Macaca fascicularis: one gene and its partners. The protein of the gene in region 2 interacts with the protein of the main gene of each other region in a pairwise test. Links are inferred from orthologs where the notes say so. Each region holds a gene or a part of one and is shown on either strand. Other genes may lie near its edges.

What was found.
Region 1: the proteins of SSC5D (region 2) and EXOC7 interact in binary tests that used the Homo sapiens proteins (3 or more experiments, as listed by UniProt). The two-hybrid records come from large-scale screens. The link is inferred for Macaca fascicularis from reciprocal best matches to the Homo sapiens genes SSC5D and EXOC7.
Region 3: the proteins of SSC5D (region 2) and NUP62 interact in binary tests that used the Homo sapiens proteins (3 or more experiments, as listed by UniProt). The two-hybrid records come from large-scale screens. The link is inferred for Macaca fascicularis from reciprocal best matches to the Homo sapiens genes SSC5D and NUP62.
Region 4: the proteins of SSC5D (region 2) and SEC23IP interact in binary tests that used the Homo sapiens proteins (3 or more experiments, as listed by UniProt). The two-hybrid records come from large-scale screens. The link is inferred for Macaca fascicularis from reciprocal best matches to the Homo sapiens genes SSC5D and SEC23IP.

Annotation. Positions count from the first base shown.
Region 1 is NC_088390.1:82,518,870-82,526,163, forward strand, and holds part of EXOC7 (exocyst complex component 7), read right to left. Parts: intron 7,198-7,294; coding exon 7,030-7,197; intron 3,808-7,029; coding exon 3,715-3,807; intron 2,984-3,714; coding exon 2,915-2,983; intron 1,910-2,914; coding exon 1,764-1,909; intron 1,515-1,763; coding exon 1,362-1,514; intron 1,155-1,361; coding exon 1,056-1,154; intron 710-1,055; coding exon 647-709; intron 314-646; coding exon 247-313; intron 1-246. UniProt on the Homo sapiens protein: Component of the exocyst complex involved in the docking of exocytic vesicles with fusion sites on the plasma membrane.
Region 2 is NC_088393.1:63,445,218-63,452,511, forward strand, and holds part of SSC5D (soluble scavenger receptor cysteine-rich domain-containing protein SSC5D), read left to right. Parts: intron 1-1,968; coding exon 1,969-2,286; intron 2,287-3,889; coding exon 3,890-4,486; intron 4,487-4,563; coding exon 4,564-4,878; intron 4,879-5,108; coding exon 5,109-5,276; intron 5,277-7,294.
Region 3 is NC_088393.1:57,891,166-57,898,013, forward strand, and holds part of NUP62 (nuclear pore glycoprotein p62), read right to left. Parts: intron 2,617-6,848; 5' UTR 2,540-2,616; coding exon 974-2,539; 3' UTR 1-973. UniProt on the Homo sapiens protein: Essential component of the nuclear pore complex. The N-terminal is probably involved in nucleocytoplasmic transport.
Region 4 is NC_088383.1:128,908,778-128,916,802, forward strand, and holds the start of SEC23IP (SEC23-interacting protein), read left to right. Parts: upstream 1-3,868; 5' UTR 3,869-3,948; coding exon 3,949-4,111; intron 4,112-8,025. UniProt on the Homo sapiens protein: Plays a role in the organization of endoplasmic reticulum exit sites. Specifically binds to phosphatidylinositol 3-phosphate (PI(3)P), phosphatidylinositol 4-phosphate (PI(4)P) and phosphatidylinositol 5-phosphate (PI(5)P).

The DNA of each region.
Region 1 (7,294 bases), on a different chromosome or scaffold from region 2:
GGACACTGCTTCCAGGGCGACGACGGTCAAAGGGGCTGAGGGAGGGGCCGGAGGTCCAGTGTCTGGTCTTGAAAGGTGCAGGCAAACCTCGCTCTCCTGATGCTCAGCCCCAGGGACCCTCTGCAGGGCACATCTCAACCCCTCCACAGACTGGAGACGCCTCCTCACTGCTCCCTGCCCTCTAACCCCATGTCTCCAGGCAAGAAGGGGAGTGGGGCAGGGGGCCCAGCTGGGAAGTGCCAGTACCTTGGGAGGCCAGCATGGCACCTGCCGTCTCCTGGAAGTCCAAAAGCTGCTGCAAGAAGAGGATGGCCTGGGTGGGAAGAAGACGGTGCAGAAGGGCAAGTGGCAGGCCCGGCTGACGGCCTCCCGCAGCGACCCCTCTGAGTGCCCACGGCCAGCCCAGGGCTGGGATCCGCCCAGTGAAGAGCGCGGCTGGAAACTTCATTTTCACTCTAGTCTACCAGGAAGGGCCCTGTCTGCTAGAGACACTAAGCATGTCACTGTCCATCCTGCCACCCAGGACCGCTCACAAAGGTGCGAGCAGCTCTGGGCCAGACTGGGTCCCTTCCAACAGTACTCTGCCCGGCCCTGAGCCTGGGTCCTCCTTCCTCCCCCCTTCCCGGTGTCCTCAGGCAGCACCCACATTGCTGGTGAGCTCGTGCACGGTGCCGTCCTTTGGCATGTTGTACTCCTTGTCCGGATCATTCTGTGGAAAAACAGCCTCTGGTTCCCTGAAGCAGCCCCCGGCCCACCCCACGCCCCCCGTGCACCTGCTCACGGTGCCGCCTCCTTGCAGACGGGTGCTAGGACACCTCTCAGGCACAAAGGCTGAGCCAGGCTGGACCAAGGGGGAGAGGCCCTTCCCACCTCAGAGGGCTTGGAGGCCCCAGGAAGGAAAGGAAGGCACATGGGTGCTGACAGGCCAGCGGCGCAGTTGGCTTCCCCTGGGACAACGCACCCTCTTGGAGGCCTGCTCTCTGAGAGTCCCCCAGGGCCAGGTCACTGTGGGTGCTGGGATGGGAGGGAGGGAGAAAGGGGAGGACGGCAGGGACCTTGATGTTGTCCGCGAAGTCCTCCAGCGCTTTGGCACCAATGGTCTCCATGGAGGTGATGAGGCCAGGCAGCTTATTCTTGGTGCTGGCGGCCGTGCCCTGAGGAAGCACAAGGGAGTTCCAAGCTCTCCTCCAGTCACTCAGTGAGCAGCTCATTCGCCCAGGGCCCTTCCTAAGCTGTCTCCATGCATCCTCAGAGCAGAGGTGTGGGACGGAGAATGCGGATCTCCCAGGGAGGGATGAGGGCGGCCACACCAGGCAGCAGGATGCCTACTGGCTGTTTTCGAGGGCCCCTCGTCCACATACCTGGAGCACCTGGTCAAACTCAGGCTTGGTCTGCTTGAGGTGCCGCAGGATGGGGAAGACGGTGAGCACCGTGGAGAAGTCGTGTCGCACAATGGCCTTCCGGGCAGCGGACACAATGTTCTCCCCTTCAAGCATCAGCCCATCCAGGGCATCCTGAGGGGACAGGGAGACAGTTCAGGGAAGGGTGGGGTGGTGGGACCTGGCTCCGGGCTGGTGGGGGATCCTTGTAGGGTGTAGGGGGCCAGTGTGCAGGAAGTGGGGCGATGGGGAGGTGGTGAGCGTCCACCCAGGACCAGCCCACAGGGCACAAGGCGGTGGTGGTGGCTGGAGTTGAGGGCTGCAAGAGTCTGTGGTGACAGCTCTCGCTGGGGCTGGCTGCAGAGCCCCAGGGCGGCACGGGACCTGTATCAGGGAGTCGAAGGTCTTCTTCTGGTGGTGCTCGGGGATGATGTCTGCCAGCAGCTGGTACTCGCTCTGCGCCAGCTTGACGAAGGCACTGACGCAGTGAATGTAGGCATCGGTCTCCACGTCCAGCATGTCATCTCTCCCTGGGGAAGACACAACTCTTGAGTTGCTGGTCTGGGGCCAGCCACACTTCTGGCTGGGGAGGTGTGGGTCCCCCAGCTCCTGGACTGCACCCCAGACCGGCAGCGGATGGGGAAGAGGCTGACTGTTCTGGCAGAAAGCTGCAAGGGCACCAGCAGGCCCCGCCAGGTTCGAGGGGAACAATAGGAGCTGAGCCCAGCCTTTGTTCTGGCTTCATTCTCAGCTCTGCGCAGACAGTGGGATCAGACACCAGAGGCAGGAGGGTGATGGACGGAAGGATAAGGAGGGAAGATCACTGAATCAACATCCTGGATAAGGTAGTTTGACCCCAGGACTGAGGATTCTGAGTTGTACCTGAAAGAGGGCAGCCCAGGGTGGGCAGGTGGCTGTGCCACCTCAAGGAGGCTGGCACTGGGGTCATCCATGTGGGCAAATGTGGGGCCTGCGAAGGAAGTGACCAGCCCAGCCAGGGCTTCTGGAACATCTAAGAGGGCGGTAGGCTGCAGCCTCTGAGGCTGGCTGGCATAGGGTCAAAATCTGAGAAGAGGCTGGTAAGTCCCAGAGAGGAGGGGTTGCCAGCTGCCCCAGGAGGAGGCCAGATCCTATTACTGGAGGCCACAGCGGGGGCGCCTGTGGACAAAACCAGTGGCAGAACTGCCTGGTCCTATGTGCCAAGGGATGGGCTCCGAGGGGATCAGAGCTCTGAGTTGTTGCAGGAGGCGGACGTCAGGGCTCCCTGCCCTCAAGGGAGCCACCTTCCCTCTCTGCCTGCTTTCTGAGTAGCAGCGGCTTCTCCCCTTGGCCCAGGCCTGAGAGCCAGGCACGCACTCCCATCTGGAGAGAGGCAAGGAGACCTAGGCCCAAAAGAGAGTGGAGAGAGAGGCGCATAGGCCTGGCCCATCCTCAGAGCAGACTGGGCCTGGCTGGGCCAGACAGGAGCAGGCCATCCGGGGACCGCTGCGAAGGCAGTGTCAGCAGCTGCCCTCGGGCTGGGCTGCAGTACTCACCGGCCAGTGGCCCGTGCTTGTCGTTCAAGGCCTCGGACAGGTGCTTAACTCGGAAATCATGCTCGTGACCTGGCGAGATGTTGGCCGCATAAACACAAGCAGTGTTTATCCAGGGGCCCGGCAGGCCGCCCCTTGGGGTATAGGGAGAAGCCCTTCATCTCCAGGAGGGGGATGTCAGATGGGGATGGGGAAGGGGGCATCAGAGAGGGCTCTGAGCCCCTCCTCTACCTCAAGCCACCTTGGGAACAGCCATTTCAAGCCTGACTTCAGTGAGCACCCAGGACCGTCCTTAGCTGCTCATTTCCCCAAGTCTGGAGGCCCAGGGAAAGCGGAGAAGGACCAAGGAGGGGCTGAAGAGCTGATGCTTGACCCCAGGGGGGTTCCCCACCTTGCCGTATTTGCGCAAAGCCCCAGTTTGCCTGTCGCCTGCTGCACACACTCCCCTTTCTGAAGAGGGGAGGCCTCGGCCAGCTGGGGCTGCCACTGCAGGTCTGAGCGTGAAAGGCTGCCCCAGACAAAGAGCTTTCTCTGAGTTCACACAGGAGACAAGGACAGAGACAGGGGAGGGAGGAGGGAGCCCCAGGGAGGGCAGAGCTGCCATCAGCCAGAGAGGACCAGGCCGAGGGCCGCGAAACTGTCCCTGCGCCTGCTGAAGCCCAAGTGGCATTGGGGACCTGCCGTTCCCACCCTGCTCCCCTCAGGGTTTCTCCCGAGGCCCTCCTGGGGGAGGCTCTGCCCTGCCAAGTGCGTGGACACACAGTGGAGGAGGAAGGGACAGGAGGGGAACACAGGGTGATTACCTTCCAGAGGAATGAGGTTAGAGCCCCCCTTTTTCCCATCTAGACCATGCTGGGAATACTGTTTCAGAAGGTTCTGAGCCTTACGGATCGTCCCTGTCACCAGAGCCACACAGAGAGGAGATAAGAAGACCTAGGAAATGAGTGAGAGAAAACAGCAGCGGCCCTCCACCTGCCCCCAGGCCCCACACCCAGCCCCCCACAGTGAGCAGGCCCTTCCCTGGGACCACCAGAGACCCTGGGGACAAAGGCGAAGGAAAAGAATCATTTCCTTCTCCAAATGGAGCCTTGATTCTACTACTGACCCTCCTTGTTCTGGATTTCAGTTCATTTCTGAAAGGACAGAGGATAATGAAGATGGAACAAGATCCACCAGGAGAAGTCAAAAATACGAGTGGCATTGTAGTCAGAACAGGCGAGGGCTCAGGTTGGAGGAGCCAGTGACAAAGCTTGCACACCGAGAGGGCACAACCAGGGTGGCAGAGCTTGGGGGTACCCTGAAGCCAGCAGGCCCCCAGCCCAGCCCCAAACTCCAGGCAGAGCTCTCCGAGCACGTTCAGTGTTGGGACGTACGCCAAACAGCAGCCAGCAGGAAGCCACCCTGACTGAACTTCCGGGGAGCGCGGTGCCCAAGGCGGACGGCTCAGAGACCCAGAGGCAGCCTAGCCCCACACGTTAGAGTTCCCCAAACAACCAAAGGGACAAGAAAAAATCCAAAAGTCAAGAAGGGGTTAACAGAAGTCACCACACAGAGAGCCTGGAGGGTGTGCGCAGAAGGAGAGGGCACATGCTCTTGGCATGGGGAAAAAAACAACAGTTAGTATCACAAGTGGAAACAATGAGAACAAAATGGTAGCGCCCACAGCCACCTGAGTCCGCCTCCTTTATGGGAATGAGACATCTTGGGCCAGAAAACGTGGGGAAATAAACCCGCATCTCAAGTAGACAAGTGCAGCTGCCTTGTTAACAAAATGTATGGGGGCAAGAAGGCACCCGGGATGCCCTCCACCCTCCTACTGTCTATCTGAGCACAGTGAGGCTGCTGTGTCCTGGCAGCTCCCCAGAAAGCTGAGGCAGAAAGGGCAGTGTCTGGAGGCTCATTGCTTACACCTGCACTGCACTGCGCCGCACCGCATGACATCACAATTAGCTTTTTTGTTTTTGTTTTTGTTTTTTTTTTTTTTTGAGACAGAGTCTTGCTGGGTCGCCCAGGCTGGAGTGCAATGGCACAATCTCGGCTCACTGCAACCTCCGCCTCCTGGTTTCAAGCAATTCTCCTGCCTCAGCCTCCTGAGTAGTTGCGATTATAGGCATGTGCAACCATACCCAGCTAATTTTTTTTCTATTTTTAGTGGAGACGGGGTTTCACCGTGTTGGCCAGGCTGGTCTTGAACTCCTGACCTCAGGTGATCCGCCCGCCTCGGCCTCCCGAAGTGTTGGGATTACAGGCGTGAGCCACCATACTCGGCCCATAATTAGCTCCTAATAACCAAGTTCCGCGGCCTGGCTCACATCTGCCTTGCTCGTGTTCTCCCCTTCAGCGAGCGAGGCTCACTAATGAGTGAATTGGATTCCCGCCCCACGACCCACCAGGAGCAGCCGGAGCAGCTGCGGACGCAGGTGCACGCCGGCAGGACGTGGGTCAGGGATGCAGATCTGGCAGCCGCCAAACCCGTCAGGCGCCCAATTACCTCCAGGGATGCTGAGGTCAGTGCTTCACCACCTGGGAGGCCTCCCTGCCCCTCTCCTCAGAAGTGGGAACCGACGTCAACGGAGCCTGACTCCCTAGAGCTTGACATCGGTCCTGAGCCCACCAGTGCCTGACAGCTCGGAAACCCCACAGCCGGAGAGCTTTCCTCTTGTGTCCCTGGGCCAAGGACGGATGTGGTCCACTGTGAGCTACCTGAGATCAGATCCCTCCTGCCTGAAAGGCCAGGGGGCTGCATGGCCAGCGGGCACTCTTAGGGCAGTGCAAATAGGGCTCTGGGGCTTCCAGGGGGCCTGTCAGGGAACCAGGTAGAAGAGGAAGTGAGCACAGAGTGGCTGGGGCTAAAGCATCCTCGAAGCCTCACAGAGACAGCCACTCCCCACCACACAGAAGGTACAGAGCTGCTCCATCCGCTGTGCAGGCAGCTGCGCCCACAGGCTGGGCTGGCAGTCCCCATTTGCAGGTTTTGGCTGGGTGGGCAGGACATCCACACTGGAGGGAGAAGGCCCCAGGCACCAGCTCCCTAATGCTCTACTCCCTGAGGGCAGCCCCTACTCTGCCTGTTTCTCTAAACCCTAAACAAAGGCCTGGAGAGGAGCGGGTGCTCTTGTGGAACAGACACCTCGGTCTCTGAGAGGCATGGGCAGGTAGGGACTGGAGAAACCAAGGGTGTAAGTAAGCTCTACCTAAAGCCTGTTGTCATAAGCAGGTCCCACAGGCCACACCTAGGGCATGTGCCTGCAGCAGCAGTTGGACAGGGGGCCAGCCTGGGTGGGAGCAGCCCTGGCTTCTCCAGCTTTCTCTTCCAGAGCAATCTCAGCAGCCCCACCCCAGAACATCCCAGCATGTCATCGAGTTGCGGGCATCTGTCAGTGGCCAGAGACAGCCGGGCTTGCCAAGCTGTGGCTGGCAGAGACACTGTTTACCTGGAGCACAGACTACTAGGGACATGATGCCAGGGAGAAAGAACAGACAGATGACGAGATGTTCACCCAGCACAGCGACACCCACCGGCCCAGGCCTCTCATCACGGTGCCTCTTTCCACAAGGCACTGACTCGCACTGGAGCCCAAAGCCAGTTTAAGTTCTTCTGAGAAGATGCTCTGGGGTTTCTTTCCTTTTTGGATCGACTGGGAAAGTGAAATTCTCCCCATCCAGCTCTCAGCTACACATCACTTCAGGTCACCTTGCCTTTCTGGAAGGTGAAGGTTGGAGCACCTATCCCCTCGCTATCCCAGCGTCCTGGATGCAGCAGTGTGCCTGGTCTCCTGACAGGGTGATGTGTGTGTGAGGCACGAGGCCTAGGCAGGGGCTCGGCCCTAGAAGCCTCTGCCGCCTGCCTCAGGCAGGATTAACTGAGCACCTGTGTTACTCCCTCACTCCAAAGAAGCTGTGTCACCCCCAGGCTCTGCTGGGTAGAAGGGTCTTGCTCTGCGGGGGCCTCACTGGCTGGGTAGACACTTGCTTTCTGTCCTGTGTACCTACAGTCAGGGTTACCATAACGACAAGCTCTAGAGGGGTCTGACGCTGCGAACGCTAGATTGGATGAAAGCAGTGCAGCTCCAGTCAGCCTCTGGCTGTTGCAGAGATGGGCCAGCATAGGGGCTCACCTGGCCGCTTGACTGGCTTCTTGGTAGGTGTGTCTTTCCTCTTGTTGGGGATAGCAGGGGAGTAGGGAACCCCAGAGGAAGAACTGCTCTTATGGAAATGCTCCTTCAGGCCCTTGATGGAGCGGTCCAGCTGGCTGGAGCGTATCTGGTAGTAGACGTTCATGAAATCTGAGGAGATACAGAGCGATAGAGGTATGGCTGCCAGGCCCTGCCTCTGCCTTGCAGACCCACCATGTCTACCTGTCAACCCTTCTTAGCATCTGCT
Region 2 (7,294 bases):
GTAGAGACAGGTCCTCACTATTGTCCAGGTTGGTCTCAAATTCCTGGCCTCAAGTGATCCTCCTGTCTTGGCCTCCCGAAGTGCTGGGATTAGAGGCGTGAGCCACCATGCCCGGCCAGGTGCAGGGGTCTTTCTTGTGTTTTTTGCAGGAAGGAATAGGTGAGACAGGGCAAGCAGGCTTAGAATTGGCTGTTTTGAAGAATTTCGGTGGGGGGTGGGGGTGGCTCAGAAGCGTTGTCCTCAGTCGGCTGGTACCTGGCCCTGCAGCAGTGAGGACAGGTGCAGAGTGGCCCAGGGTGTGAGAGCCCCGTGGAGAGGGTGGTTTGCACACAGAAGGCATGCTCAAGCCGTTTACCATCTCTAGGAATTAGCTAACCCTGGGAGGGGCAGTCCCTCAGGATCAGGAATGCTCCAAGATGTCAAAGCATCAGAAATACAGAAAATAAGAAGGCGTGGTTAACACAGCTGTCTCCTCAAGACGGGAAAAGGCCGAACAAAAGCAGCAACTTGTTTTCACCATGGTCACCATTCCCAGAGGCCTCTTTCCCCTTTTCCTGAATAATAATGTCAGCTAACACTGATCGAGCATGCGCTGGCTCCTGGTCACTGATGCTGTTCCCAGTTCTCTCCATGTCTCAGTCCAGGTGACGCTCGCAGCCACTGCGGTGTGGGCATTGACAGGTCTTCATGTTACAGATGAGGCAGCGCAGCTGAGAAATGGGAGAGCCAGGATTCAAGCAAAAACGCTTGTTCCAGGGCTCACATTCTTTTAAAAAAATTGTGATAAAACATACATGACATAAAATTTACCATTTTTACCAGCCTTTTTTTTAAAAAAAAAAAAAAAAAAACAGGGTCTCACTCTGTCACCAAGGCTGGAGTGTAGTGGTTGCTCACTGCAACCTCTGCCTCCCAGGTTCAAGTGATTCTCCTGCCTCAGCCTCCTGAGTAGCTGGGATTACAGGCGTGAGCCACCGCGCCTGGCCCATGCCTGGCTAATTTTTGTATTTTTAGTAGAGACAGAGTTTCTCCACGTTGGCCAGGCTGGTCTCGACCTCCTGATCTCAGGTGATCTGCCTGCCTCAGCCTCCCACAGTTGCTGGAATTACAGGCGTGAGCCACCGTGCCTGGCCTGCTGCTTCCTGTCTTTTAAAGGACTTCCTCTGAGAAGGCTTCTCCAGCTTCCCCAGGCAGAATTTTTCTCACCTTCTCCTCGTTGTGTGTCTGCCTTGCCTTTTTGGTACTTCCACTACTCCCTTTAGCTCGCTGAGTTGCAATGAAGTGTGTGCATACTACCTTTTCTAAAGACCGAGAGTTTTTCAAAGCAGAGGCTGTGCCTGACTCATAAACAACAACAAAACACCTTATTATCCCTGGTGGTCTAGTGGTTAGGAAAATAAAATCTAAAAAAGAAGAAAAAAAAACCCTTATTAAACCAATAATAATGAGAGAAAATTAAGGGTGGTGAACAATTGCAGGGAAAAAGACTTTTATTTTAATTGAGGTGAAATTCATGTAATATAAAGTTAACCAGTTTAAGTATACAACTCAAGTGGTATTTATACATTCAAAATGTTGTACAACCACTACTATTTGGCTACTGTGAATGGTGCTGCTATGAACATTCACATACCGGTGTCTGTCTGAATACCTGTTTTCAGTTTATTTTGGGTATATCCCTACTATAGACTTTCTAGATTATATGGTAATTCGATGTGTAGCTTTTTGAAGATCCTCCAAACTCTGCCTGGCTCATCATCCCTCGTGCCTAATGCAGAAAATGGCACAAAAAAGGCTTCATTAAATATTTGCTGCCTGGAGGAAAGGATGGTTGAATGGAGGGGAGGCCTAGATGGATGAACGGATGGATGCATGGAAAGGAAGATGGAGGGAGGGAAAGGTAGATGAAGAGTCAGGAGGCTGGGTGGCTTCCCTGACTCTTAATTCTTTGGGTCTCTTCTACCCCAGGGTCCCCCCAGCTGCGCCTGGTGGCTGGGCCCAGCAAGTGCTCAGGTCGACTGGAGGTGTGGCATGACCAGCGCTGGGGGACCGTGTGTGACGATAGCTGGGACATGCGGGACTCAGTCGTGGTCTGCCGGGAGCTGGGCTGTGGTGGACCTCGGCAGCCAGACCCTGCTGCTGGCCGCTTTGGCTGGGGTGCGGGTCCCATCTGGCTAGATGATGTGGCCTGTGTGGGGACCGAGGCTTCGCTGTCCGACTGCCCTGCTGCTCCCTGGGGAAAGCACAACTGTGCCCACAATGAGGATGTTGGGGTCACCTGCACTGGTAAGGAGGCCCTAGCTATCTGTTGACTCCAGGAGGGCTTCCTGGAGGGGGAACAGTAACTAACATGGGCACTAACATTGAGCGCTTCCTAAGCCCCAGCCCTGTGCTGGGTGTTTTTGCACATATGACCACATTGAAATCACATAATAAGTCTAGGGTGGTATGTGTTATGCCCATTTTACTGATAAATAAGCTGAGGCACAGAGAGGTTAGGTAACTTGCTCAAGATCACACAGCAACAACTGACTGGTAGACCTGGGATTCCCACTCAGAGAAGCTGCTGCTTCCTTTTCCTTCCAGGAATCAAGGAAATCTCCCACTAAGAAGGAAGCTTTAGCTTTCCTAAGATGAAAGGAAGCAGGCAGGGCACTGGGAGATGGAGAGAAGCCAAAGCGAGAGCCAGTTAACATAAACTCAGGCAATGCCTGCTATTACATGGCAGAGGCTGAGCTAGGCGCAGGGTCCTCATGCTGGGCTCATGAATGGAATGAACATGGTCTTGGTCTTTGAATAGCTCACAGCTCATGGGGAGAAAGAACTACTCTAACAAATCATTGCAAACCTGTGTGACTCGTTATAGTTTGGGGTCACCAAGACCACTCTCAGAGTCGATAATTTGCTAGAAGATCTCATAGAACCAAAGAATCTGTTACACTCAGGGTTATCGTTTATCACAGTGAAAGGATACAGATTAAAATCAGCCAAGGGAAGAGGCGCCTGAGGCAGGGCTCAGGAGAGAGCAGGTGTGAGCTTCCAACTGTCCTGTCCCAGTGGAGCTGTGCAGACAGCACTTCATTACCCCAGCAACAAAGTGGGACAACACACATGAGGAACCGCCAACTAGGGAAGTTCCCCCGAGCCGTGGCGTCCAGAGTGTTCATGGGGGCTCGGCCACGTACATGTGGCTGATCATAAATCACACCGTTAGCACAGGTGATCCAGCATGGCCCAAGTCCCCCAGGGAAACAATCTCTTATCAGGCAAGGTGTTCCAAAGGCTTCGAAGCCATCTCCCAGGAGCCGGGGAAAGGGCTAAACCTTTCTTTGGGCAAGGTTAATCCTTTACTGCACACGTGTGCTAATCAGAAGGATGGAAGATGGAGAGTGGTGCCTCAAAGGATGGAGGTATCACCTCTGCTGGAAGCTATGGCTCTTCCCTCTGTCCCCCTCTTCCTGAGGGCCATGGGGGCACCACAGAAGGATTCTGAGTTCAGGAGTGGCCTGTCGGACCTGGGTACCCCTCTGGTGGTAAGAACTGACAGGAGGTAGGGAAACCCATCAGAAGGTCCAGGAAATGAGGCCCTGACTCAGAGCAGAAGCTGAGGAGATGGAGGGGGGGTCAGGTGTGAAGGGGTGAGGGAGTCAGTCATGTCCAGATTGTACATGCCAAGAAGGCAGGGGGCGGCGTCAGGTTTGGCTTACCACAGGCTCCCCAAGGGTCTAACATAGTGTGTGGCTCATAGGAGGTGCTTGATTTGTGACAATAAATGAATGAATGATGAATGAATGGGAACTGGGTAAGTCACTGGAGAGGAGGGGTCTGGGTAGATGATCTTATCATCATGGTGTTTCTGTCTTCTCTTCCTGCCCCACACACCTTCCAGGGCCCCCAGGCCTGGACTCCATCTCAGACCCCTTCAGCTGGAGCTGGATTCCTGGACTGGGGAGAGATCGGGATGCCTGGCTCCCGGGAGAGCTGGCCACCAAGCCCTCTGCAAGTGTGACTGCCAGTGTTCTGGAGAAAACAACCACGAAGGCCCCAGGGAAAATGCCTAAGAGTACTAAGAAGTGGGTGACAAAATATGCAAAGAGACCAACCACTCAACCTCCACTGACGCCAACCACAAAGCACTCCAGGGCCCAAAGCCCCCCAGACCTAACCTCACAGACCACTACAGCCCTGACCACTGAGGCTTCCCGAAGACCCACTGCTGAGTTTACCAGAAGGCCGACCACGGAGGACCCCCGGAGATGGACCTCTCACACCACTGCCACGCTGACCCCTCAGGCACCCCGAGAACGGACCACTAAGACCACGGCAATGCTGACCACTCAAGGCCCCCAAGAAATGACCTCTGAGGCCACTATCAAGAGAATCCCTCAGGCCTCCCTGGAGCCATCTGCTGAGATACCAGAAGGGTCTCCAGAGTCACCCAAAGACCCGGCCCCCTCTCCCAGTGCTAGCACCACCGGGGAATCAGGTGAGTGGCCATGAGGGGTGTGGGGAGAGAATGGGAGAGGCTGACCCTCCCTCCTAACCTCAGGGCCTTCCACGCAGGCCTGTTCCGGGTTCGTCTGGCCGATGGGCCCAACCGCTGTGCCGGCCGGCTGGAAGTGTGGCATGCCGGACGCTGGGGAACAGTGTGTGATGACAACTGGGACCTGCGGGACGCCACTGTGGCCTGCTGGGAACTGGGCTGTGGAAAGGTCCGGCCTCGAGTAGGCAAAACCCATTACGGCCCTGGGACTGGGCCCATCTGGCTGGATGACATGGGCTGCAAGGGAAGCGAGGCCTCACTGAGCGACTGCCCCTCGGGGGCATGGGGGAAGCACAACTGTGACCACGAGGAAGATGTGGGGCTCACCTGCACTGGTACCAGGGCATGGCGGCGGTGGAGGGGGTTACGGGGGGTGGTCAGGAGAATGGAGTCAAGGTGGGGCCAGGTGACCGCACCATGGTAGACTCTAAAGAACTGGGCTTGAGGGGTTGGGGTGGAGAGATCCCAGAGTTGCTCCAGAAGATTCCAAAAGGGGAGGGAGGAGCAGCAACAAGGACCTCTGAGAAAGAGGATGGGGTCAACCATTGCCCCAATTTCTCCAAAGGCTACACAGACTATGATGATTATCCCCCCTGGACCTGGGACCCCACCTCAACAGAGGACCTGGCCAAGGGGACCACCACGGCACGGGTACCCGGACACACTCTCCCCTGGGGCACCACCAGGCGCACGGGGATCTCCTCTCCAGCAACAAGGCGCCTGCCAGACACAGGTGAGGGGCGTGATTGGGGTGGCCATGGGGGGCCTCCATAAACCTCCATTTGCTTCCCTGCAGGGTTTCCAGAAAGACCCTTCTCAGTGAGCTCGCTGAGGTCTCAGGGCACCCCAGAAAGGTTTTCCTCAGCTCCTGAGACTCTAAACGCATTATCTCCTTGGGCTCAATGGTGACACTTCTCGAGAGCCGAGGACACCATCTAAGAGATCAGGCTAAGCTCAGCAATCCTGAGTCCATGGCCCTCCTGTAAACCACACGAGAGCCTGGGCCCCTCAGTCAAACCCACAACCAAGGGCCACTCTGTCATCACATAATCGTCCCCACCCCAGCTCCCCCAAAGCAAGCGAAACCTTACCCATTCTTGAAGCTCATGCTCTGGTCCAGGTCTGGTATGGCTCAGACAGAGGTGGGGACTCTTAGAGTGCTGCTTCTCTCCCTACCCTGGCCATCCCCTCCCTCCGGCCTGCAGAATCAGCCTCCAGGGACACAGCTCCGTCCCCCTCTGCTCTGTGGCCTCTGTCTTGCTGTTGCAACTCCTTCCACACCTGGGACCACATTTGGGACCTTGCCCTGCTTTGGCCCCCACATTGCTGCCACCACATTGTTCTGCATTTTTCTTTGCCTGTCTTCCTTGTATCCCCATCTCTCCGGGTCCCTCTGAATCCATCTCTGCTCCTGTTTCTCACTTGCTATTGGTCTCTTTTCTTTCATTATCCATTTCTCACCCTCGTCATCTCTATCTCTGTGTTGCCCAGGATGGAGTGCAGTGGTGTGATCTCGGCTCACTGCAGTCTTGACTGCCCGGGCCCAAGCGATCCTCCTGCCTCAGCCTCCTGAGAATTTGGGACTACAGATGCGCGCCACCACACCCGGCTCATTTTTATTTTTCGTAGAGACAGGCTCACTATGTTGCCCAGGCTGGTCTCAAACTCCTGAGCTCAGACAATCCTCCTGTCTCGCTCTTCCAAAGTGCTGGGCTTATAGGCGTGAACCACCATGCCTGGCCTCACTCCATTTTCCATGGTCAATTTCTCTATCTTTTCTTCTCTATGCCAGTTTCTTTTTTCCTTTCATTTTCAATTTCTCACGCTCATCTTTATGCCGTATTTTTTTTTCCATGGTCATTTCTCTTGCTCTATCACCATCTTTCTCATTTTTTTCTTTCGTTGTCAGTTTCATATTCCCGTCATTTCTTTTTCCCTATGTCTTTCTTTTTCAATTTCTCACCCTCATTACCTATTTCTCACTCCAGTTTTCGTGGTCAGTTTCTCTTTATTTTTTTCTGCCTTGTCCTTCTGTCTTTTTCTTTCATTATCAGTCTCACACTCTCATCATTTCTGTTTCTCGCCTAGTTTTTCCTGGTCAATTTATGTCTTTCCCCGTCAGCCTTTCTCTTTTCTTTCAGATCTCACCTTTACCACCTCTGTTTCTCCCTCCATTTTTCATGGTAAATTTCTCTTTTTTTGAGACAGGGTCTTGCTCTGTTGCCCAGGCTGAAGTGCAATGGTGTGATCTTAGCTCACTGCAGCCTTGAACTCCCAGGCTCAGGTGATCCTCCCACCTCAGTGTCCTGAATAGCTGGGATTACAGATGCACACCACCATGCCTGGCTAATTTTTTTTTTTTTTTTTGAGATGGAGTCTTGCTCTGTTGCTCAGGCTGGAGTGCAGTGGCGTGGTCTCAGGTGACTGCAACCTCCGCCTCCCGGGTTCAAGCGATTCTCCTGCCTCAGCCTCCTGAGTAGCTGGGATTACAGGCACGTGCCACCATGCCCAGCTAATTTTTTGTATTTTTAGTAGAGATGGGTTTCACCATGTTGGCCAGACTGGTCTCAAACTCCTGACCTCGTGATCTGCCCCCCTCAGCCTCCCAAAGTGCTGGGATTACAGGCGTGAGCCACCGCTCCCAGCCTGATTTTTAAATATTTTGTAGAGATGGGTTCTCACTGTGTTGCCCAGACTGGTCTCAAACTCCTGGGCTCAAGTCATCGGCTCGCTGCGGCCTCCCAAAGTGCT
Region 3 (6,848 bases), about 5.6 Mb from region 2:
CACAGGACAGCATAGCAAGTGTTACCCAAGGTACAGGCTCAGGGTGCTACGGGGACCTGCAAGAAGGCCACCTGAGCTTTGGGTAGCTGGGAAGGCTTCCTGGAGGAGGTGAGGCCCAGAGGTGGGGGTAAGCCTGGGCCAGGCAAAAGGCAGGCCTCTGTGTGTAGGCCCCTCAGCTGACCTGTCTTCTGTGCAATTCTCGATCCCACTGTTTGTTCTATTCACACTGTGCTGCTTTGTCTTGGTGGTTAGCTTTCACAGGCACACACCTCCTACTCCAAAACTTAGGCTGCTGTCTCCTGGGACGCTTTTTTTTTTTTTTTTTGAGACAGTCTCTGTTGCCAGGCTGGAGTGCAGTGGTGTGATCCTGGCTCACTGCAACACCTCCCAGGTTCAAGTGATTCTCCTGCCTCAGCCTCCCGAGTAGCTGAGATCACAGGCACCCACCACACCTGGCTAATTTTTGTATTTTTAGTAGACACGGGTTTCACCATGTTGGTCAGGCTGGTCTTGAACTCCTGACCTCAAGTGATCGGCCTGCCTCAGCCACCCAAATTGCTGAGATTACAGGCGTGAGCCACTGCGCCCTGCAGGCTTTGGAGGTTCTCTTACATTTGGTATTTTTTCATGACACCTATGACTACGCTTTGGAGAGAGCAGCTGTCCCCGCGACCCTGGCTGGGACCAAGACCACCACTGCGTCTCCATCACCAGGTCGAGCCAGGATGAGGTGGGCGGTCGCAGTGGCTGGAAAGGGGCCAAAGACACTCAAATAAAAGCCACAGAAGCCACACCCATGAGGCTGCTGCCTGGGCAGAGGGCTCAGAATACTTCCTACATGGAAAAAGGCAAAGCACACAGCAATTGTCTCAAAGGCAGTCACGTGAAAGAAAGAAACATGTATCTTGCCACAACCCCAAACTAGACAACAGGGCGCGTTCCCCGCATGGAACTCCCAGGGCCCTGCTGTCGCTCAGTCGAAGGTGATGCGGAAGCTGCGCTCCTGCTCCTTGCGCCGGCCCTCGCACACCTTGGTCACCTCCTCCACCTTCCTCTGCAGCAGGGCCGAGTTCTGGTCGATCCACTGCAGCGAGCCCATGTGCGCGTTGAGGATCTTGCAGATCTGCTGCAGCGGGTCGCTGGTGTCGGCGGGGGCCCCGGACGTATTCAGGTGCTCGATGATGTCCTTGAGGTCCTGAGCCATGCGCTTGAGCTGCGCGTCGATGTTCTCGGCCAGCTTGTAGGTTTTCTCGCGCTCCTCATCCGCGTGCTGCAGGTAGATGGTTCCGCTCTGCTCCTTTACCAACTCCTCCAGCGGGCTCAGCAGGTCTTCCAGCTCCTTCTGCTGGGACAGGATGAAGTCGAGCTCCTGGTCCAGCCTCTTCTGGTCCAGCTTCACCTTCTCCACCTCGCGGTGCAGGCTGGTGATCTTCTCCCCGTTCTCGATCAGCGTGCGGTCCCAGGCGTTGACCTGGGTGGCCTGCTGGAGGAAGTGCCGCTCCTGGTCCTCTAGCTCCAGGCTCCATTTGTTGATCAGGCTCTCCAGCTGCGCGTAGGTCATGGCGGAGCTGGCGGCCGCCCCTGCAGCTGCACCAGGGCCAGGTGGAGCAGTCACAGCGGCTGCCGTATTGCTGGGGATCCCAGCTGGCGCCAGTGGTTTTAAATTCAAGGCAAAGCCGGTGGTGCTGCTGCTGCTGCTGGTGGCCGCGGCGGTGGCAGTGGTGGATGTTGCTGTGGAGGCGCCCGAAGCTGCTCCAGGTGCCTTTAAGCTGAAGCCCTGTGTCCCGGCAGCGGGGGCTCCCGCGGTGGTCGCAGGGGTACAGAGGGAGAGTCCGGTGGTGGCAGACGAGGTTGGAGCGGTTGCTATTGATGCAAAGAGGGTGGGCCCAGTACCGGTGGTGGTGGCTGTGGCTGTGGGAGCAGCTGGCTGCGTGACGCCTGCTGTGGTGGCTGCTGGCGTGGCCGGAGTAAAGGGCAGAGTGGCAGGTGCGGTGGGCTGGGCTGAATTCCCCGCTGAGCCAATGTTGAAACCGGAGGGCTGGGCCATGCTTCCACCAGTGAATGAGAAGCCTCCAGATGTGGTGGCTGGAGCCACAGAGGTGGTGGAGGGGCCAAACACAAAGCCAGTGGGTGCTGTGCCCTGGCTGGAGGTGACAGTGCTCGATATGGCATTAGTGAGGTTGCTGCTGCCCAGCCCAAAGCCACTGGGGTTTGCCATGGCTGGGGTGGCAGCTGTGTTGCTCAAGTTGAGCTTTGAAGCACCGATCCCTAAAGAAAATCCAGTTCCCCCCGAGGCAAGAGTTGCTGTTCCAAAAGTGAAGCCTGTTGTCTGTGTGGCCGGAGTCTGAGTGGCGAGTGAGAACAGGCCGGTGGAAGGGGTACTTGTGGTTGGTTGGGAGGGAGCCCCAAAATTAAACCCTCCAGTGCCAGAGGTGGAGAAAGAAAACCCTGTGGCAGGTGTGGTTGTCGCTGTCTTTGCAGTGCCAAATGTGAACCCACCTGTAGGGGCCCCAGTGCCTCCAAAATTAAACCCGCTCATGGCTCCGGACTCTGGTGGCGGCAGCTACTCTGGCTCCCAAAGCAAATCCGCTGGCGTCTGCGACCTCGGGAATATTTCTAAAGCAAAGGAAGTGACACTGTCAGATGGCAGTTTTGGAAAGGCAAGCCCAGTGGCATGACTGGGCACGGCTGGTTTGGAGGGTGGTGGGATGGGATTATGATACCATGCAGCAACCCCCCTTCGTCCTGTGTAACCTAAACCAGACTCTGCTACATCGAGAAGGATCCAGAAGCACAAATGCACGCTCCAGGGGTCAGGTACGAGGAGTCGGGGTGCTAGGGACGTGCATGGCCACATTCAGCACAGTGGAAAGTTCCCACTCTGGAGGATGAGGCGGGAGAACAGGACCTTGGACCCACTTCAGCCCGAGGAGATCAGATTTGAGGCACTGCCACAAGCGGGACTAGGACACAGAAGAACAGCTGTAGGACCTGCTCCCAGCGTGGGACCCAGTAAGGTTCCCTGGCTGACTCTAGCGGGGTGTGAGCGGATCAGCTCTTGCCACCCTGAGGGCCTCTCTGGACGTGAGAGAGAGAGATGGGGCAGGGAACCCAGGCTGGATGGCAGGATACGGGCTGCTGAAGGTCCCCCAGGCCCACACCTGTACTCTCTAAGAGCAGGAGAGGACGTGCCCCTCCTAACTCAGGGGAGGGTCTGAAACCCATGTGCTCAGAGCACAGATGCCCCTGGCCACAGTGACTGGCTCGAGGATAAACTGAGACCCGAGCCAGGCAATCAGAGCCTCCCCTGGGATTTTCTCCATGCTCAGAAGGCAGCTGCCTCCTTCGCCTCTAAGTGTGGTGCAGGGGATTGCACCTGGGCCACCCTTGGACACCTTCTCAACCACCTGCAGACACTGGGACATCACCGGAGACCATGAGCCCCACCAGAGATGGATGGGGTGGGGAACAGATAAAGAGCCCCCGAGAAGCCCCATGGGCCAAACATTTCCCTTCAGTCCAAACTGACTTGATGTTGGTAACGTCTAACCGAAAAATCTCCAAGTGGTGCCATCTATCAGCGGGATGGTGAGGAAAGGGTGAGAGGAAGTGCTGGATAGGGGTGTTTTTTTTCTTTTGGGAAAGGGTTTTGCTCTGTCATACCAGCTGGAATGCAGTGACATATCACAACTCACTGCAGCCTCAAGCTCCGGGGCCCAAGCGATCCTTCCACCTCAGCCTCCCAAAGTAGCTGGGACTACAGGTACATGCCACCATGCCCGGCTAATCTTTTTTATTTTTTGTAGGAACGGGATTTCACTCTGTTGCCCTGGTCTTGAACTCCTGGGCTCAAGCGATCCTCCCTCTTTGTCCTCCCAAAGTGCTAGGACTATAGGTGAGAGCCCTCCAGATGATCAGAAGCATCCTTAGAAGATCGGTTTGACTGACTGGAGAGGGAAGAAAGCTTGTGGTGGCAAGAGCAGACTGGAGTGATGCGCTTTGGAACCTGAAGACGGGAGAAAGCCAGGAGCCAGGGAAGGCAGAAGCAGCTCTAAAAGCCGGAAATGGAAAGAGGGAGGCCCTGTCTAAAAAACAAACAAACAAACAGAACGAACAAAGTCATGACTGAGAAGCCAAGTGCCTGGCCCAGAGAAACACCCACGACGTCTGTTTCCTCTTCCCTCTCTCCAGGCCAGTTTTTAAATTGCTTGGTGTCTGTCCTCAGGAAATCCCCTTCTAGCTTGAGGAAGAGGAAACCTACCTCACTACCCCCACCCCTTCCACTGCACCCTTCTGCCTTCCACAGGCCCCTAATTTTTGTTTCATCTGCTCCTCCTCCTCCACACAGCCAAGCAAGTCTGGGGAGATGACCCCAGGGCCAGCTGCATGCGCTCTGCCTTGTCCCAGCCAGCAGATCTCAATGGGCGCCCATCAGCACTGACTGGAGCATTTAAAACACCGAAGGCTGCCAGCTCCATGAAGCCAGTCTCTCCAGGGCTAGGATGCTGGCCCTGGCATTTTCATAAAGCTCTCCTGGGGGATTCTGAGAAAGGCTTCTTCAACAGGCCACAGCAAGTGCCTGAGCCCCCAGGACTGTTGGGGCCCAGCCCGGCCTGCATCCATTCCTCCCGTTGTGGGACAGAACAAAAGTCCTCACTGCTGAGCCACCTCAAGTCGGTGTGTTGTTACTGGCAGCTAAAGGCATTGGAGCAGCTACACCTACACATCTCAGTTCTCAAAAACTCAGCTTAAAAAAGCTTTTGCTATTAATAAGTTATAGCTAAAATTTCCAAGAAGAGCATTTATAAAAAGCTCTTTACAACTATGAAAAAACTACAAGGAAAACAATCTTCTGTGGGGACTTGTCTGGCTTAACGGTTCACCTTTTTTTTTTTGAGATGGGAGTCTCGCTCCGTTGCCCAGGCTGGAGTGGAATGGCACGATCTTGGCTCACTGCAACCTCCGCTTCCTGGGTTCAAGCAATTCTCCTGCCTCAGCCTCTGAGTAGCTGGGATTACAGGCACATGCCACCACACCTAGCTAATTTTGTATTTTTAATAGAGACGGGGTTTCTGCATGTTGGTCAGGCTGGTCTCAAACTCCCAGCCTCAGGTGATCCACCTGCCTCAGCCCCCCAAAGTGCTGGGATTATAGGCGTAAGCCACCACGCCCAGCCAACAGTTCACCATTTATTAAGTGCCTCGTTGGTTTCTAATACTTCAGGTGCCAGGGATCTAGTCACAATGGTGAACCCATACAAATCCAGCTCTGATCCATGCAGTTTAGATGTAATATGGCCAGGTGCAGTGGCTGACGCCTGTAATCCCAGCACTTTGGGAGGCTGAGGTGGGAGGATTGCTTGAGCTCAGGAACTCAAGAACAGCCTGGCCAATATAGCGAGATCCTGTCTCTACAAAAAAATACAAAAATGAGTTGGCTGAGATGGGAGGATCACTGGAGCCCAGGGAGGTGGAGGCTGCAGTGATTGTGCCACTGCACTCCAGCCTGGGCAAAATAGTAAGACCCCATCTGAAAAAAAAAAAAAAAAAGTTAGATATATCATTACTCACCCTTTCCTAAAAGCAAACTTTGGGGCAGATCCTTTTTTTTTTTTTTTTTTTTTTTTTTTGAGACGGAGTCATGCTCTGTCGCCCAGGCTGGAGTGCAGTGGCCGGATCTCAGCTCACTGCAAGCTCCGCCTCCCGGGTTCACACCATTCTCCTGCCTCAGCCTCCCAAGTAGCTGGGACTACAGGCGCCCGCCACTTCGCCCGGCTAGTTTTTTGTATTTTTTTAGTAGAGACGGGGTTTCACCGTGTTAGCCAGGATGGTCTCGATCTCCTGGCGTCGTGATCCGCCCGTCTCGGCCTCCCAAAGTGCTGGGATTACAGGCTTGAGCCACCGCGCCCGGCCGGGGCAGATCCATTTTACAAATGAGAAAGTGAAGCCCAGAGTGGTTAGCTAAGCCATGGCCCCTGCCCTCGAGGCAGCCAGAGTCAAATGTCAGCTCTATAATCAGGGATCAGGGCTGGGTTACATGCTGTGGGAGCAGGTTCCAGGGAGGAGCTGAGTGTTGCAGATGTAGCATCAGCCAGGGAAAGGATCGGGAGGGGAGAGGAGCTGTCCAGGCAGGAGGAAAGGCCTACGGGAAGACAGGGAGGCTGAAACAGCAGACATGCCTCTGGGTGCTAAGTGATTTGGTGCTTTGGAAGGGAGATGTTTATGTGTGAAGGACTGATTTGCCAAGCATGAGCTGTTCAAATCTGTACATTCCAAAGAGAGAAAATGGCCCTTGACCAGCTCTGGGAGAATCTCTATGTTCTTGAAATGTCCTGCCAGGTAAGAGCGTCTTTGTTTACCTGGAGCCTCGGGCCACTCTAGGGAGTCCATGTTAACGCTGTGACCTACAGTGGGGGCTTTGGGTCATACGGTATCAGCACAACCTCTGGAGGGGCTGGAGAAAGCAGACCTCAGTTTAGCCACACAAGTGCTCCATGCCTACAGAACTGCTCCTCCCCACAACCCGGGCCGCCAACACTCCGTAAGTGTTACCGCACACTGTTGCTGGGAGAACTGAGCGCTGTCCACGGAACTCTCTACCTGGAGAGGAGAGCTGGAAGCTCGTGCCTGGTCTCTCTCGGAGCTTCTGCATCTCTCCCCTTTGCTGTTTTCGGTCTGTTTCATTTCTCCATAATAAACCGTGACCGTGACTGTGAGTAGAAAGCTTTGCCGAGCTCTGTGAGTCTTAGTCCATCACTGAGCCGTGACCGTGACTGTGAGTAGAAGCTTTGCCGAGCTCTGTGAGTCTTAGTCCATCACTGAGCCGTGACCGTGACTGTGAGTAGAAGC
Region 4 (8,025 bases), on a different chromosome or scaffold from region 2:
AGAGAGAGAGAGGGAGAGAGAGAGAGAGAGAAAATCAAGGAGAGAAGGAAAGATGGAGAAAGACAGAAAGTCAAAAAGATAGGAAGAGACAGAGACAAAGAAGGAGTCAAAGAGAGAAAGAGATAGAAAGTCAAAGAGAAAGAGAGAAACATAGTAAAGAAAAAACAGTATACCCTATTCCTTTAAAAGTCAGAGGAAATTTAAAACCTATAATTGATAATTGAAGGTCTTTTCTGTGACTCTATAACACTCCCACACCACCTGGTTGTCAGTGTAAACAAAGGCATAGCCTGAAAGCAGTGAGGCCACTGACAACCCATAGCCTTCCTATCCAAAATCCTTAACCTAGCAGGTTTCCTAACAGGGACCTAATATTAATTACCATACAAAGGTCCGACCAGAGCTAGGGGGAACTCCCTTCAGGATAGGACTGATAGATGGTTCCTCCCCAGTGATTAAGGAAGAAAGACATAATGAGTATTCAGTAAATGATAAGGAAACTCTTGAATAAGCAGAGTTAGGAAAATTGCCTAATAATTGGTCTGTTGAAATGTGCTTGAGCTGTCTGCACTCAGCCAAACCTTAAAGTACTCACAGAATCAGGAAGGAGCCATCTATACCAATTCTAAGTTAATATGGACTGAAGGGGTCTTATTAATGCAAAGAACAATTGAAATCCCAAACCTACAAGGTTTTCAACAAAAGTAAAGTTTGCTAAAAGTTAACAGTGTAACATGTATTATCCTACTACCACACACTCTCAAAGGATTTCTCAGACAGTTTGCAAGAAATAACAAAATCTATCCTTATTCTACAATCCCTAATAGACTCTTTGGCAGCAGTGACTCTCCAAAACTGCCAAGGCCTAGACCTCCTCACTGATGACAAAGGAGGACTTTGCACCTTCTTAGGGGAACAGTGTTGTTTTTACACTAACCAGTCAGGTATAGTATGAGATGCTACTTGGCGTTTACAGAAAAAGGCTTCTGAAATCAGACAATGCCTTTCAAATGCTTATATCAACCTCTGGAGTTGAGCGATATGGCTTCTCCCCTTTCTAGTTCCCATGACAGCCATCTTGCAATTACTCTCCTTCGGGCCCTGTATTTTTAACCTCCTTGTCAAAGTTGTTTCCTCTAAGATCAAGGCCATCAAGCTACAGATGGTCTTACAAATGGAACCCCAAATGAGCTCAACTAACAACTTCTACTGAGGACCCCTGGACCAACCCGCTGGCCCTTTGACTGGCCTAAAGAGTTCCCCTCTGGAGGACACTGCAACTGTAGGGCTCCTTCTTCACCCCTATCTAGCAGGAAGTAGCTATACCGGTCATCGCCCAATTCCCAACAGCAGTTGGGGTGTCCTGTTTAGAGGCGGGATTGAGAGGTGAAGCCAGCTGGACTTCCTGGGTTGAGTGGGGACTTGAAGAACTTGTCTGTCTAGCTAGAGAACTGTAAACGCACCAATCAGCGCTCTGTGTCTAGCTAGAGGATTGTAAATGCACCAATCAGCACTCTGTAAAAATGTGCCAATCAGTGCTCTGTGTCTAGCTAGAGGACTGTAAATGCACCAATCAGCACTCTGCAAAAATGCACCAATCAGTGCTCTGTGTCTAGCTAGAGGATTGTAAATGCATCAATCAGCACTCTGTAAAAATGCACCAATCAGCACTCTGTGCCTAGCTAAAGGACTGTAAATGCACCAATCAGCACTCTGTAAAATGGACCAATCAGCAGGATGTAGGGGGGGGACACAAATAAGGGAATAAAAGCTGGCCACCCCCCCAGCGAGCAGAGGCAACCTGGGTCCCCTTCCATGCTGTGGAAGCTTTGTTCTTTCACTCTTCACAATAAATCTTGCTGCTGCTCATTCTTTGGGTCTATGCCCCCTCTAAGAGCTGTAACACTCACTGCGAAGGTCCGAGGCTTCATTCTTGAAGTTAGCGAGACCAAGAACCCACTGGAAGGAACCAATTCCAGACACATGACCACCAAGAACTGTCTTCTCAAGGACCTGGGGGTTTGTCTCTTCAACTGCAAACATTCAAGGAGGTGCTTCTCATTCTCATTCCCAGTCCCTATGGCTACCTTGCTCTCTTACACCACTGCTTGTCATGAAAACAGAATAATTATGTGTCTCCTCTGGATAAGCATGGATTAACACACCCAGGTGGCCTAGTCGCAGGACCAACCACCTCTTCACACTCCTCAGTGCCTTTCCCTTAGCACACCACAGCCTCTAAAAAGTCTCCAATCTTTTGTTTCAGCAAAGTTGTGTTCAGTTCATGCTGGACCCACTTCCCTACTGCAATAGTTTTCATTAAATAAAATCTAATTTACAGCTTTAATGAGTGTCCCACTTAAAAATTTTTTTTTGACAGTAAGCACATGAAATCATTATTGAATTAATAAATTTAGGTTCTACATAGGTGTAAACAGCTGGGGAGAGTTTCATTATTTTGAGTGTTCTTTTGGGATCTCCTCTCCCAACCTCCAAGAAGCTGAAAGATTGCTTAAGTTATATTTTCTTTCAAAATCTCTAACTATGAAAGATGACAATTATGTCCAAGTTATCCACAGTACCTTCTGGATTGAACTAGTCATACTGTGGATATAGAAAGCTATCTAAAATGTCAGAGCTCTAATTTCAATGTCCTGGTTTCTTTTCTTTCTTTTTTTAACGAGACAGGGTCTCGCCTTGTTGCCTGGGCTGGAGCACAGTGAGTGGCAAGATCAGGGTTAATTTAGCCTCAAGCAATCTTCCCACATCAGCCTCCTGAGTAGCTGAGACTATAGGTGCCATGCCACCACGCCCGGCTAATTTTTGCATTTTTATTAGAGACTGGGTTTCGCCATGTTGGCCAGGCCGGTCTCAACCTCCTGGGCTCAAGCTGTCCTCCCGCTCTGCCTCACAAAGTGCTGGGATTGCAGGCCTGCGCCACGGCGTCCGGTTTGATTTCTCTTTTAAATATGTGTTTTTGGCCGGGCGCAGTGGCTCATGCCTGTAATCCCAGCACTTTGTGAGGCTGAGGCGGGCGGATCACAAGGTCAGGAGATTGAGACCATCCTGGCCAACACGGTGAAACCCCATCTTTACTAAAAATACAAAAAATTAGCCAGGCGTGGTGGCAGGCGCCTGTAGTCCCAGCTACCCGGGAGGATGAGGCAGGAGAATCACTTGAACCTGGGAGGCAGAGGTTGCAGTGACCCGAGATTGCGCCACTGCACTCCAGCCTGGGTGACAGAGCGAGCCTCCTCTCAAAACAAAAAACAAAACAAAACAACCAAAAAAAAAAAAAAAACAAAAAACAAACGAAAAACACAAAACAACAACAAAAATAAATCAAAGATTTTTTTTCTCCCTATGTATTAAACACTTAAAAACATTTTACCATTTCTATTTCTGGGTCAATGCCAAAGTTCAGTTCAGTCCAGAAAGACAAGTGGTTTTGGAAAGGGTGTTTGGTTCCGCCTTGCATGCGAATTCCCACACAACCCTCTTCCTCCTTTCCTCCTTCGGGCAGCGTCCAGCAGGATTCCGCTGTTCCTCCAAAATCTTTGTCAGGAGAGTCATCCTGACAGTACTTTTAGGAAGCCCATAGATATCAGCCACAACCTGTGACTTTCAGGGTCAATTGCGTGTCAATTCGCACGTCCATCCAGAACCTGCGGGGACCACGCCCCCACGCTCCCTCCCGGCCTTTGCCTCAGCCCCTCTCCGCCTCCAAGGGTGTCACGTGCCAGACTCGGGCGGGAAGACATTGCCGCCATGTTGATTTCTGGCGGCGCTGGCTGGGGGAAGGGAGAGGGTGGCTGACTAACTAGCTACCCGTAGTTCCGGCTCCTGTGCGCAAGTGCGGAAGTGCGCTGGCCGGGAGAGTGATCGGTTTCCGGTCAGTGGTGAGGTACTGAGTACCCGGAGACGTGTATCGGAAGGTGGGCCGCAGCCATGGCGGAGAGAAAACCTAACGGTGGCAGCGGCGGCGTCTCCACCTCCTCGTCGGGCACTAACTTACTTTTCTCCTCCTCGGCCACGGAGTTCAGCTTCAATGTGCCCTTCATTCCAGTCACCCAGGCCTCAGCTTCCCCGGCCTCCTTGCTCTTGCCCGGAGGTAATAAGGGGAGGGCGGTCCCGTGTGTGGTGGGAGGCGGGCGGGGGACGTGCTGTGACAAGGGTCAGACGGAAAATATTCCTTTTGCCTCCAGCTACCCTCTCGATAGCTTGCCAGGATCATTAGTGACCAGGTTTGAGTGGGTCGGGGGCTTTGGGATCTTGGAGGCGGCAGGTGATGCGACTTGCTCTTCATTGCAGAAACCCACTGTTCCGAGTTGTCCAGAGTGCTGGACATTCATTCGTACACTGGCATTCCACAAATCTTTGCTGAACACCCATTGTTGTTACGCCAGGTGCTGGCAGGGAATGCAAGTAAACAGTGGCCCTCTCCTAGGGTACAGTAGTCTATCTCCCACTAGGAGACTCCTAGGATACGGTAAGATACCTCCTAGGATGGACTGTGCCCCTCTCCTGGGATACGGTACACTGTCTCCTACTAGGAGATTGTTGTGATACAGTAGGATATCTTCTAGATTACAGTAAGATATCTTGTAAGATGGACTGTGCCCCTCTTCTAGGAGAAACATGTAATATTTGTGAAGTAGACATATAAAATGCATTCCTCATCTTTTTTTTTTTTTTTGAGTCGGAGTCTTGCTTTGTCGCCCAGGGTGGAATCCAGTGGCGCGATCTCGGCTCACTGCAACCTCCACATTTCGAGTTCAAGTGATTCTCCTGCCTCAGCCTCCCGAGTAGCTGGGACTACAGGCGTGCATGCCCTGCTAATTTTTGTATTTATAGTAGAGACGGGGTTTCACCATGTTGGCCAGGATGGTCTCAATCTCCGGACCTCAAGTGATCCGCCTGCCTCGGCCTCCCAAAGTGCTGGGATTACAGGTGTGAGCGCCTGGCCAATTTTCGTCTTTCAAGACAATCCATCACTTCTTCCAAGAAACTTTTTCTTGTTCTCTTAGGCCCCCACTCCTATGTGCACTCCTAGCTCTTTTTTTCATATTTGTATTATTGTCCAGGGAGATTGCTTTTTGATGATGATGTAGCATAGCCCAGAGCATGGTGTTCAGGAGCACAGACTGTATTCCAGTCCTTGCCCTGCCAGTAGCTTGCTGTGTAACTGTAGGCATTTTAGTTTACTTCTCTGTGCTTCAGTTTCTATATATGTATAGCCTCACATAATTATAATTAGAAATGCTTTAATTTTTGAAAAGCACCAAGTATACTGCCTGCCAGACAGTGTGATTTAATGTTTGTGAAATAAACACACCTGCTTCTCCATTTGGACTGCGGTCTTCTTCAGCAGCTATGACCTAATTGCCTTTTTATTTCCAGGATGTTGTTTAGGGCCTAGTAAGTAGATCCTCTTCGAATACTGAGTTTGCAGTGAGTAATTTATTCTTGTTTGAAGGACTAAAGACAGTTTCATGGAGAAGCGAGGACAGGCACGCTGGGAACAGCTGTACATAAAGGTTCCCCTGCCCATGTGTTAATGTTTCTTCTTGATGCTGGTCACTACCTGACATGTACACATACTTGTTTATTCCACTCCACTAGGATGTAAGACCATGAAAGCAAAAACTTAGTTTTATTCACGATTATATTCCCACTGCGTAGAATGATGTGTGGTATGTAGTAGACCAGTTATTCAGTGGATGTTTGTTGAATGAGTGAAAGGATGGGAGTCAAAATGATGTCTCAATTTGACCTGTGGTTGAAAGGTTAGGCGTTGCTGTCTTTGGTGAAGAACCAGCATTTTGGAGCAGAATGCTGTGAGAGGATGCAGGAATAAATAAGGCTTTACCTGGGGTTTTCTAATCATCCTCTGCACCATTCAAGTTGTTTGGTTATGTCCATCTTCCTTGCTGTGTAGTATTTGGTTTGTGTGTCACTGTGAATTCATGCTAAACATTTTCATTGTGAAGTCTAGTATAGCTATACCTGTCTTTAATGCTCTTGTTTCTTGGAGACAGTCTGTGTGTGTGTGTGAACATTAATAGTTTTTAGAACTAAAATTCATCTCTAAAAATCTCAGAAACCCATTCAGAGAATTTCCAGAGAAAAAGAAGAAACAGTCTCCTTGGAAGCAATAGTTAATCATATAAGTGAAAGAGACACAGGAAGCAATTTCATATATTCAACAGACATGGAAGGCCTGGCACAGTGGCTCACGCCTGTAATCCCAGCACTTTGGGAGGCTGAGGTGGGTGGATCACCTGAGGTCAGGAGTTCAAGACCAGCCTGGTCAACATGGCAAAACCCCATCTCAACTAAAAATACAAAAATTAATTGGATGTGGTGGTGGGCGCCTATAATCCCAGCTACTCGGGAGGCTGAGGCATGAGAATCGCTTGAGGTGGATGTTGCAGTGAGCTGAGGTCATGCCGCTGCACTCCACCCTGAGCGACAGAGTAAGACTCCATCTCAAAAACAAAACAAAAACAAAAACCAGACATGGATTGAGCAGTTTCTATTTGCCAGGCACTGTTCCAGAAGCTGGGAGACACAGAAGAGCAGACAGCCCTGCCCTCAGTGACTGCACAGTATATATGTATACACACACTCACCTGTGTAAGCAACTGTGATACTGGTTTAGAACAGTTAGAAAGAGGGATTGATAGATGGCTGTGAATGCTGTGGGTCTCAGGCTGGCTGAGCTGGGGAATGGATGTCCCTTAGGCCTTCAGGTCCTCTTAGGGGAGGTGATGCTTGAGCTGAGTGTTGAAGGATACATAGAAGTGAGGGAATCTGGAGAGACAGGAATATGGGAAGTCTGAAGGTGTGAGAAAATCTGCAGGTTTGGCAGGAGTTAGTGGTTGGTGGAATGGGACAGGGATGGAGCTCATCCCTCTCTCCTGTCTCTTCACCTTTATCTCCTCTCCCGTGTATCCTCTGCCCCCAGTAGATCACTTTGACTAGAGTGTGGACAATGGAGTGGCCTCGGTGGTCTATGGGTCACATATACCATACTCAGGAGGAGTTTGTAGTTCATCTTGTTGGGTTTTGGGAGCCTTTGAAGGATTTTCAACAAGGCAGTGAAATTAGACGTGTGTTTCAGAAAGACTGGAGTTTTCTCTAGTTGCACTGGAATAAGGTTGACTGTAGCAAGAGGATTCGGCTGGGAGGCATAGTGAGAGGCTGGCAGTGGCGATGGCAGTCTAGCCCGAGTCAGCCACATTGGGTGTGAGGAGCAGGGAGCAGATGTGTGAGATGTGTAGACTACACACTTGTAGAGACTCACGGAAGACCAGAGCGTCAGCTCTGTCTGTCAGCACAGAGGCCCATTTTTGTTTAGTTTTAGACCCAAGACTGAGCTCTGTACCTGGCACATAATGCATCCTGAGTAAATATTTCTTGAATAAATATTTGAATGATTAAATGAAGGGTATGAGAGAGAGGGAGGAGTCTGAGAGACTTGAGGTTTCTGGTTTGAATGTCTGAATGGATGTTGGCAAACATCGGTGGATATAGTGAAATACAGAAAAGGGAGCACGGAGGTGGGTAGTTAAGATAATAAACTCTGTTTGGGGCTTACTAAGCATGAGGTATATGTGGCTGAATCTGCCAAAAACATTGAGGAAGTAGTTGGAAAACAAGTTCTGGAACACATGACAACGGTCTGGGTTTGCGATAGAGTTGGGAGTGTCACCAATATACAAGTGCCTATTAAAGTTGTGGCTTTAGATGACATGTGTCCAAATGAAATGAGAAAGTGCCCCTGAGGTGAGGGCAGCAGTATGTGGAGAGCATTTCATTTGTAGTTGATGCTGATCGGAAAAAAGTTTCTTGGATCAGGTTGACCTCAAGTTTTTTTAAAGGATGAAAGATACCACTGAGGTTTTCTTTTTTTTTTTCTTGCTTGCTTTTAATTGTTGGGAATGAATTAAGAAATACAGGTAAGTCCAAGTGAGGGTCACTGACCTGAAAAGAGGGGTGGGAGCTGGAAATATATCAGAGAAG